Linked DNA regions of Macaca mulatta. The protein of the gene in region 1 interacts with the protein of each later gene in a pairwise test. Links are inferred from orthologs where the notes say so. Each region holds a gene or a part of one and is shown on either strand. Other genes may lie near its edges. The genes, in order: FAM9B and POLL.

Region 1 (4,666 bases):
ATATCACTCTTCATTTTCATTGGTTGTTTTACTTTTATTTTCTACGGTTTTGGGTTTAGGCATGTTGATGCTGTGTTAAGCACAAAATGATTTCTGTCAGATTGTCAGAGTAGATCATGCCCTTCTCTTGTTCTGTATACTCTGCCTTTAGTTTATTCATTTATTTTTTGCATTATTTTACATTTGCGAGCTATCAATTCCCAGATCCATATTTTCCTTTTCTTCATATTTGTCTGACATGTATTTTTTGTATCATTTTGTTTTAGCTCCATTCTTACATACAGCATATACTTAGATTTTTATTTTGATCCAAGTTGGAAGTCATTTCCTTTAGATTCTGAGTTTATCTCATTCATATTTCTTGCTCAACAGATTCACTTGGCCTTAATTTTGTTCCTTTATGTTATGGTCTCTGGAGTATTTTCTTTATTTTTCAATTTTTACTACAGGATTTGTGTTCTTTGTGTGTGCTCTTTTTGGTTATATAGACATTTAAGGCTGTGGATTAGTTTTCCTGATGACTGCCTTTATAATTTCTTTTCTTTTCTTTTTTTTTGAGGTGGAGTCTCGCTCTGTCGCCAGGGTTTCACCGTGTTAGTCAGGATGGTCTCGATCTCCTGACCTTGTGATCTGCCCGTCTCAGCCTCCCAAAGTGCTGGGATATAATTTCAATAATATAATGAAACTCTATATCTTGATTTACAAACTTTAGGCAATATTTATTTACTCCTAACTCCAAAACAACTCTCCCCCTATTATAGGCGACTGGAGGTGGGAAAAAGCTGAGTTAACGATAAGTATTAAGGCATTAATTTGTGGGTGAAGGTTGTGGCATATGTCTGCATAAGTCTGGAGCATGAGGGTTTGTGGGCAAGTCTGGGGCATGAGGATGAGAAAGAAAAGTAGTGAGGAAACAAAAATGGTTATGGGCAGGGCACGGTGGCTCATGCCTGTAATCCTAGCACTTTGGGAGGCCAAGGCGTGCAGATCAACTGAGGTCAGGAGTCCGACACCAGCCTGGACAACATGGTGAAACCTCGTCTCTACTAAAAAAAAAAAAAAAAAAAATTAGCAGGGCTTGGTGTTGGGCTCCTGTAATTCCAGCTCCTTGGGAGGCTGAGGCAGGAGAATCACTTGAACCCGGGAAGCCGAGGTTGCAGTGAGCTGAGATCACCCTGCTGCACTCCAGCCTAGGCGATAGAGTGAGACACAGTCTCAAAAACAAACAAAAACGATAAAAGCACAATCCATTGATTGAAAAGGATGCAGCTGGGCATGTTGGAAGCACACAGGGCATGGGAGGGAGCCTGGGCCCAACCCATAGGATGATGGCCATTCTAGCCAAAGGGGCAGGGGTGGCTGGAAAGAGCCCCAGGGCGAGGTTCTAGGCCCTGTCCACTTGGCCTCCATACCAAGTCCTGTGTCCCTCCCCAGGAGCAGAAGCTGAAAGAATGTGGGAACAGAGGCCCCAAAGGGCCAACCCCACCTCAGTCCACAGCAACCACTTGCTGTCACTTAGGGGAAGGGGGAGGGCGTGCCAGCAGGGGGCGTGGCCCCACACGGCCTGTCACACGCATGTGCACTGAGTCGACCAATCTGCGAGGAGCGTAGGAAGTGCTGTCGGCAGCTCTCACGAGAACTGAGTACTTGTTTTCTTTTTTGTTTTTTGTTTTTTGTTTTTTGTTTTTTGAGACAGTCTGGCTCTTGCCGCCCAGGCTGCAGTGCAGCCGCGCGATCTGGGCTCACTGCAACTTCCGCCTCCCGGGGTCAAGCAATCATCCTGCCTCAGCCTCCTGAGAGGACCCGTTTTCTAAGAGATCCTAGTGGTGCTGTTGTCTGCAGGTTCTTTGAGGGCGCCACATCAGGGGTCCCTCAGGTGAAGCGCTCGCGGTGGGGAGGCGGAAACGCAGGCACGAGGCCCTCTGGGAACCAGGGTGTGAAGCGCTGGGCCGCCCGCTGACCTGTGAGGAAATGCCCCTGGCGTGGTCGCCTGGGGCCTGGGTCAGGGCGAGGCCCTGAGGGTGGGCTGGGGTGGGCCAGGGCAGGGAGGGAGCTGGAGCCGCCTGGGTGATCCCTAGGGCCCAGGAGGGCTTGTGCATGTGTTGGGGGGAGGTGCGGAAGGTGGGGGGAAGTGGGGGTGGGGCGAGGGTGTTGTTGGGGACAGTCTGAGTGGGGCCCTCCTGCCCGGCCTCCCGTCAGGACAGGACACTTGGGGTCATCAGGGGTCCCCTGTGCATCCAGGCGGGTGAGTGACAGTGCAGCCCCTGACATTCCTCTGGAGGTGGCTGGGGAGATCCTGTGTCACCCGGTGGCCCTCCCAGCCACACGGGGTCGCTGGGGGACCCAGAGGTAGGGCTGAGTTCTGTCCCAAAGGTGCGGCGAGGATCCCGCAGACGCCGTGGAGTTCAGGTGTGAGGGGCAGCTGTGAGCTCTGCAGCCAGCCCCGGGGACGGGCTGGACGGGCTGGACGGGCCAGGACAGGAGGGGACACTGGCATCTTTTCGGTCCCCTCCTGCTCCCACAGGAGACCCAGGGCGTGCCAGCCCCACCCTTCTTGAACCTGTGATCCCAATGGCTTTCCTTTCCGATGCCAGGGTTCCTTTGCTTCCTTAGTGTGCCTTTGCCCTCATCAGGTTCAGGGATCACCTGTAGCTTCCCAGGACAGCCAGCCACGGATCCTGTGGGCAGGAGGGCTGCCAAGGCCCAGTTGGAGGCTCAATTTATGGCGGCCCAGGGGAAGGAGCGTGCAGGTAAATACAGCCCAAGGTGACCCGGAAGAAAGTGCACGCCCAAGAGGACGGTCTGTCTGCTTTCTGCGCTGGGGGCACAGGGGTAGCCCAAGGACCCGGGCCCCTTCGTGGCTTTGGAGTCCATCGTGCACGTGCTAAGATGCCCCAGGTTTTCAAAGCAGGCTCAAGGGCCTTAGGCTTCCCGTGAAAGGCTCCCCTCATAGCGGGGTTACAGATGCTCCCAGAGCAGCTCTTCTCCATGAGTGCAGTCATGACATCCAAGGGGTCTGACGTGTAGTATGTTGTTTACTGGGACTTGAACCCGAAGGGCTTCCAAAAGTGCCTTGATAAAATGGTCAGAAGCCGGTGATTCCATGTACAGCTCTGCTTTAAAGCCTTAATTGGCAGATAGCCAAAAAAAAAAAAAAAAAAAAAGTCTACAACAAGTACATTTCTCCACAAAAAAAGTCCACAACAGTGTCTTCCTCTAAAAAAGGTTTGTCTTTTAAATTTTAATGCAGGAAAGGATCCAGTCAGTGACGAATGTGAGGAAAGAAACCCTTTTACAGAAACAAGGGAGGAAGATGTAACTGATGAGCATGGGGAAAGAGAACCTTTTGCTGAAAAAGACGAGCACACGGGGTAAAGTGTTTAAGTCACTTTTGCCTGTGGGATAGGGTCTTTTAGGAAAAGTCACCTTTGGACCATGTCATCACTGTTCTATTCTGTGCAGAACATTTCACATAAGACATTTCTTTTCCCAACAAACATGGCATTTTGTGTAGTATTATGCTAAAATTTTGATGTAACTTTTTTTACAGGGCTAATACCAAGAAGCCAGAAGATACTGCAGGTATATTTTAGGAGTTATCTGTCGTTTATGAAAATTGTTTTCAATCATGCAACTGTTGCAGTAAGTTATATGAATCAGTGGATGACAAGACTGTCTTAAATGGCTTATCATATGTAGCATTTAACATACGTATTTAATGTAATCTGTTTGATAAATTTTTCTTACCTCTTTGATTGTTGATGTGGAATGTGAGAATGCTTCTAATAATGGTGAAGCGAGATGGATGGCTTTTCTTTCATACACGTGGAAATTTAATTGTTTGGAGAATATTAGAGGACATTGGAGGAGAAACAGCTCTATTCGTTCCTTTTAGTGTACGCAGATTAAGTCATATATCAGGTTTTTTTTAAGCTTTCACTTTAAGTTTGGGGGTACATGTGCAGGTGTGTTATATAGATAAATTGCATGTCACAGGGTTTTGGTATACAGATTATTTTGTCACCCAGGTTATAAGCATAGTACCTGATGGGTGGTTTTTGATCCTCACCCTCCTCCTACCCTCCACTCTCAAGTAGGCCCAGTTGTCTGTTGGTCCCTTCTTCCTGTCCATATGTACTCAGAGTTTTTAATATGAGTTTTTCATGTTCTTAATTTAGCTATTCTATTGTCACAGCTTTCTGATTTTGTTTTATTTGAAGTACAAGAGAAAATTGAATTCTCTAAAATCATTTTCCATTATTATTCCAGTAATAAACTGTGTAGTACAAAAGGACAACTTTTCTATCTAGTGAGAAACATGTAATTGGATCCAAAAACTCATAAACTTTATATTGCTGTGTGAAATATTAGTTGCACTGTTATAGGGACCATATTTTCAAAAAAGTTTGAGAAAATTTCTGTAAAGATGATGGAGACAATACTCTTACTTTTGAAAAGCTCAATTCAGTTTTCAGCTTTTCGATAGCGATGATTCATACAAGCAGTATATTTGGAAAGCTTTGCTCTGCTTGGTGACAAAAAGTGCTGGTTTTGTGAGCTGCCTAATACATTGGGCGTTATAGATGGAGACTGTATGTAAAAAATATTTGCATTATGGTACAAATCTTTTATGATTGCTGAAAACTGTTTTTAGCAATTGATGGTA
Region 2 (4,231 bases), on another chromosome or scaffold:
AGTAAAGGTGCCGACTGGAGAGCCCGTGGTGAATTAATGGCACAGTCGGAACTAGAGCCCAGGCCTCTCTCCTCTCTAAAGTCCAAAACATTCTTGGATTTCAGTTTCCTCTTCTGTAAAACGGGGTGGAAAATTAGCCTCTCAGGACAGTGGTGAGGAGCAAATGAGATAACGAATGTAAAAGAAATTACTATATTAGCAACAGAACTCAGAGCGGGGCGAGATGGTGTAGAGAAATTTAAGGGGTGTCCGGAGACATGTGTTCTGGTCATGTCATCTCTGTGAGCCTTAGTCTCCTCATCCGCAAATGCAGGACCTGGCCCGGCTGACCACCGAGACCCTTCCAGCTCTGCCGACCCAGGCCCTGAGGCCCTTCCCGGAGGGCCGGACCCTGGGGGAAAAAAACGAAGGAGCTCGCGGGGACCCTCGAGTTACCGTCCTGCAGCAGTGCAGTCTTCTGGGCTGTCCGCAGACTCTCCAACCAGCCCGTCACCGCCATCTTTCCTGTGCTAAGCAGCCCGCCCGGCCGCTGCCATGGCAACCGTTCCACTGAAGGTCACTTCCGGCTGACTCGGAAGCTATTCTGGGCATTTGCCCTCCTTCCCCCCTTCGTCCGTTCTCATTGGCTCTCCTGGTAAGTGGCCTACTCCTGCCCACCCTCGGGTGACCAACTTGGCCTGTTGTCGACCGCACCCGGGGACTGACTCTGGCGGTTGGAGAGAGACTCTTGGCGCCGGGGTTGGGCACTCCAACTCTCTACTAGCCCCGAGCTGGGATTCCCTGGCCTGCGCCAGCTGCGTACAGGGCGAGTACACCACACCTGCCTGGGTCTTCACCCCCAGCTGCGAGACTCCTCCATTCCCGGAGGGCTCCCCACACCTGCTGCGGCCGTGCCCCATCTCCCCGCAGCTGCGGCGCTGAGCATCCCCATGTCGAGAGGCTGAGACCAGGGCAGGTGCAGGGCGTTCCCACTCACCCGCGAAAGTCCGCCTCCTCAGGTTTTCCTCTGCAAGTCTGTGTTGGAGGTAGAAAAAGAGTATGTGGAGTTTATGTGCAGGTCCTCCCCAGTCTCCGCTCCATCCCCTAAAGCTCCATTTCCTAGCCCAGCATCCCATTTTGGTAAAGCCCTTCGAAGTGGGCCGCAGCAGGAGGGCTGTGCTGAATCTTTAGAGCAACCCCTTTGAGGAATGGGTATAGTTTCCTACTCCTTAAAAGTACCCCCGATGGCTCCAGCCTTCCCCTCATTTCCCCTAATACTCCAACTTTGAAAGACTGGGGAGTGTGAAGCTAGGCTAAAAAGCTAGTTTAACAGGGTTTGAAGAGATCCCCCCCAACCTCCCGCTTCCCCAAACTGGGCTGCTACCCCCTACCTCCATAGGCAAAGGGGTTGGAGATCCTTAATTCTGTATTTCCACCTGACAGCAGCCCTGACCAACCCTCCAACAGGCTGGGATGCAGCCGTACTTCAATGGATCCCAGGGGTATCTTGAAGGCGTTTCCCAAACGGAAGAAAATTCATGCTGATGCATCATCAAAAGTACTTGCAAAGATTCCCAGGAAGGAAGAGGGAGAAGAAGCAGAAGGTGAGATGACCCACTCTCAGAACCCTCATGCGCTTGAACCCTCAGCCTTCATGTGCTTCAGCCCTATGTTGTTCATGTCCAGAATCAGATATTGGAGCTGACTCTGCCTGTCCATGGACTGCAGGTCTGTTTGTATCTGCCTTGTACTAAGCTTGGTCCTGGGTCTTGGACAGGCCATTTGCTGTGTTATCTTCTTTTCTACCTGAACACCCCTATCAATTGGAAAAGACTCCCTGGACCCTCAGGGAATGACCAGTATAATTTTTGCCCTGGGGGACTGGGACAGAAACCCCCCTCCATTACCCAGGATTGTTGTTAGTTGTTTTGCAGCCAAATTGATAAATAAATAGCAGAGGCTTTGGAGGCAGGGTTGTCGGGTCTGTCAGAGTGTAAGGGCAAGAAATGTGCATTGTTGAAAGAATAAATGATAAAGGATTCAAAGTATGGAGAGAGGCTGGGCGCGGTGGCTCATGCCTGTAATCCCAGCACTTTGGGAGGCCAAGGCAGGCAGATCACCTGTGCTCAGGAGTTCGAGACCAGCCTGGGCAATGTGGCGAAACCCCGTCTCTACCAAAAATACAAAAAATTAGCCAGGCATGGTGGCACATGCCTGTAATCCCAGCTACTTGGGAGGCTGAGGCATGAGAATCGCTTGAGCCCGGGAGATGGAGGTTGCAGTGAGCCAAGATGACGCCACTGTACTCCAGCCTGGGCAACAGAGTGAGACTGTCTCCAAACAAACAAACGAAAAAAACAAAACAAAAACAAAGTAAGAAGGGAGGAGGCATTCATTCAGCAGATATTTACAGGTTACTTACAATGTGCCAGACACTTCTAGGTTGCACCAAGGAACAGGACGTATAAAAATCCTTGTCCCTTACTTTCAAGTACTGGCCTGTGAGAAAATTTGCTGTATATAGAAGGAAACCTGCCTGGATGGAAGACAAATGCTTATTTTCAGGGTAGGGGACTGTGAACATGTCATTCAGATCATGTTAGAAGTTGTATTCAGATCATGTTAGAAGTTGTGGCCAGGGGGTGGCAGATAAAATTAAAAAGTTATGACAGTAGTCATCTGGATGTTCCTTCCCCAGAGTGGCTGAGCTCCCTTCGGGCCCATGTTGTGCGCACTGGCATTGGACGAGCCCGGGCAGAACTCTTTGAGAAGCAGATTGTTCAGCATGGTGGCCAGTTATGCCCTGTCCAGGGCCCAGGTGTCACTCACATTGTGGTGGATGAAGGCATGGACTATGAGCGAGCCCTCCGCCTTCTCAGACTACCCCGGCTGCCCCCGGGTGCTCAGCTGGTGAAGTCAGCCTGGCTGAGCTTGTGCCTTCAGGAGAGGAGGCTGGTGGATGTAGCTGGATTCAGCATCTTCATCCCCAGTAGGTGGGCTGATCCCAGTCTTTTTTTCCAATGTTTTCTAGTAGCATCTTGAGCTCTCTTCTTGAATTATTAAAAATAACTGTCATTAATTTAAAAATTAGCCAGGCATGGTGGTATATGCCTGTAGTCCCAGCTATAAGAGGGTTAGGTGGGAGGATTGATTGAGCCAGGGAGGCTGAGGCTGCAGTGAGCCTTGATCATACCACTGTACTCCAGCCTGGGTGATAGAGCAAGACCCTATCTCAAGAGAAACTCCAAAAACCTCAAAAAACTCATTTTCTTAATTGGACACACTGGGAAACCAAGTATTTCAGAATACATTAGGACTGGGGACAGAAACAGGGTGAGACCTTTGGTGTCTTAACCTCCCATCACCATCCCCACAGGTACTTGGACCAGTCACAGCCCAGCAAGGCAGAGCAGGATGCTTCTCTTCCTCCTGGCACCCATGAGGCCCTGCTTCAGACAGCGCTTCCTCCTCCTCCTTCTCCCACCAGGCCTGTGTCTCCTCCCCAAAAGACAAAAGAGGCACCAAACACCCAAGCCCAGGTCAGGAGCCTTCCATCCCTCAGAGCTCCCTTCCCCTAGGAAGCAGATCACAGAAATGGGGAGGGCCTGATGACTGTTCAGAAAGTCCCAGTCCCCGGAGAGAGGAGGACCCCATTGTGAAGCCATATATCTCTTCCCAACACTCATCACTCCTGCATTCATCTAGGCCGTATCTAACACATACCACTGGGGATCCTAGGGGTAGGCACTGCGGTGAGCCAAAGGGAATGTGGCCCCACACCCGAGGTGATCCAAGTCTGATGCAGAAGGCCCCACCTCATTCTTAGGTCTGACTAGAAGACCCTCCCCCTGCACAAAGAAGATGACCCCCACCTTTAAGGATCCCTTCTCCTGGAGGACAAGAATTTATTGTTTTCTTTTCTTCTCTACCCCAAGCCCATCTCTGATGATGAAGCCAGCGATGGGGAAGAAACCCAGGTTAGCGCAGCTGATCTGGAAGCCCTCATCAGTGGCCACTACCCCGCCTCCCTTGAGGGAGATTGTGATCCTAGCCCAGCCCCTGTGGTCCTGGATAAGTGGGTCTGTGCACAGCCCTCAAGCCAGAAGGCGACCAACCACAACCTCCATATCACAGAGAAGCTGGAAGTTCTGGCCAAAGCCTACAGTGTTCAGGGAGACAAGTGGAGGGCCCTGGGCTATGCCAAGGCCATCAATGCTCTCAAGAGCTTCCATAAGCCTGTCACCTCGTACCA

The links.
Region 2: the proteins of FAM9B (region 1) and POLL interact in binary tests that used the Homo sapiens proteins (3 or more experiments, as listed by UniProt). The two-hybrid records come from large-scale screens. The link is inferred for Macaca mulatta from reciprocal best matches to the Homo sapiens genes FAM9B and POLL.

The regions. Positions count from the first base shown.
Region 1 is NC_133426.1:8,568,512-8,573,177, reverse strand, and holds the start of FAM9B (protein FAM9B), read left to right. Parts: upstream 1-1,609; 5' UTR 1,610-1,876; intron 1,877-2,633; 5' UTR 2,634-2,722; coding exon 2,723-2,750; intron 2,751-3,250; coding exon 3,251-3,371; intron 3,372-3,550; coding exon 3,551-3,582; intron 3,583-4,666. UniProt on the Homo sapiens protein: May play a role in meiosis.
Region 2 is NC_133414.1:113,660,634-113,664,864, reverse strand, and holds the start of POLL (DNA polymerase lambda), read left to right. Parts: upstream 1-1,431; 5' UTR 1,432-1,468; coding exon 1,469-1,583; intron 1,584-1,628; exon of another isoform or gene 1,629-1,707; intron 1,708-2,677; coding exon 2,678-2,972; intron 2,973-3,355; coding exon 3,356-3,518; intron 3,519-3,914; coding exon 3,915-4,231. Other genes in the region: protein DPCD, read right to left, coding at 436-499.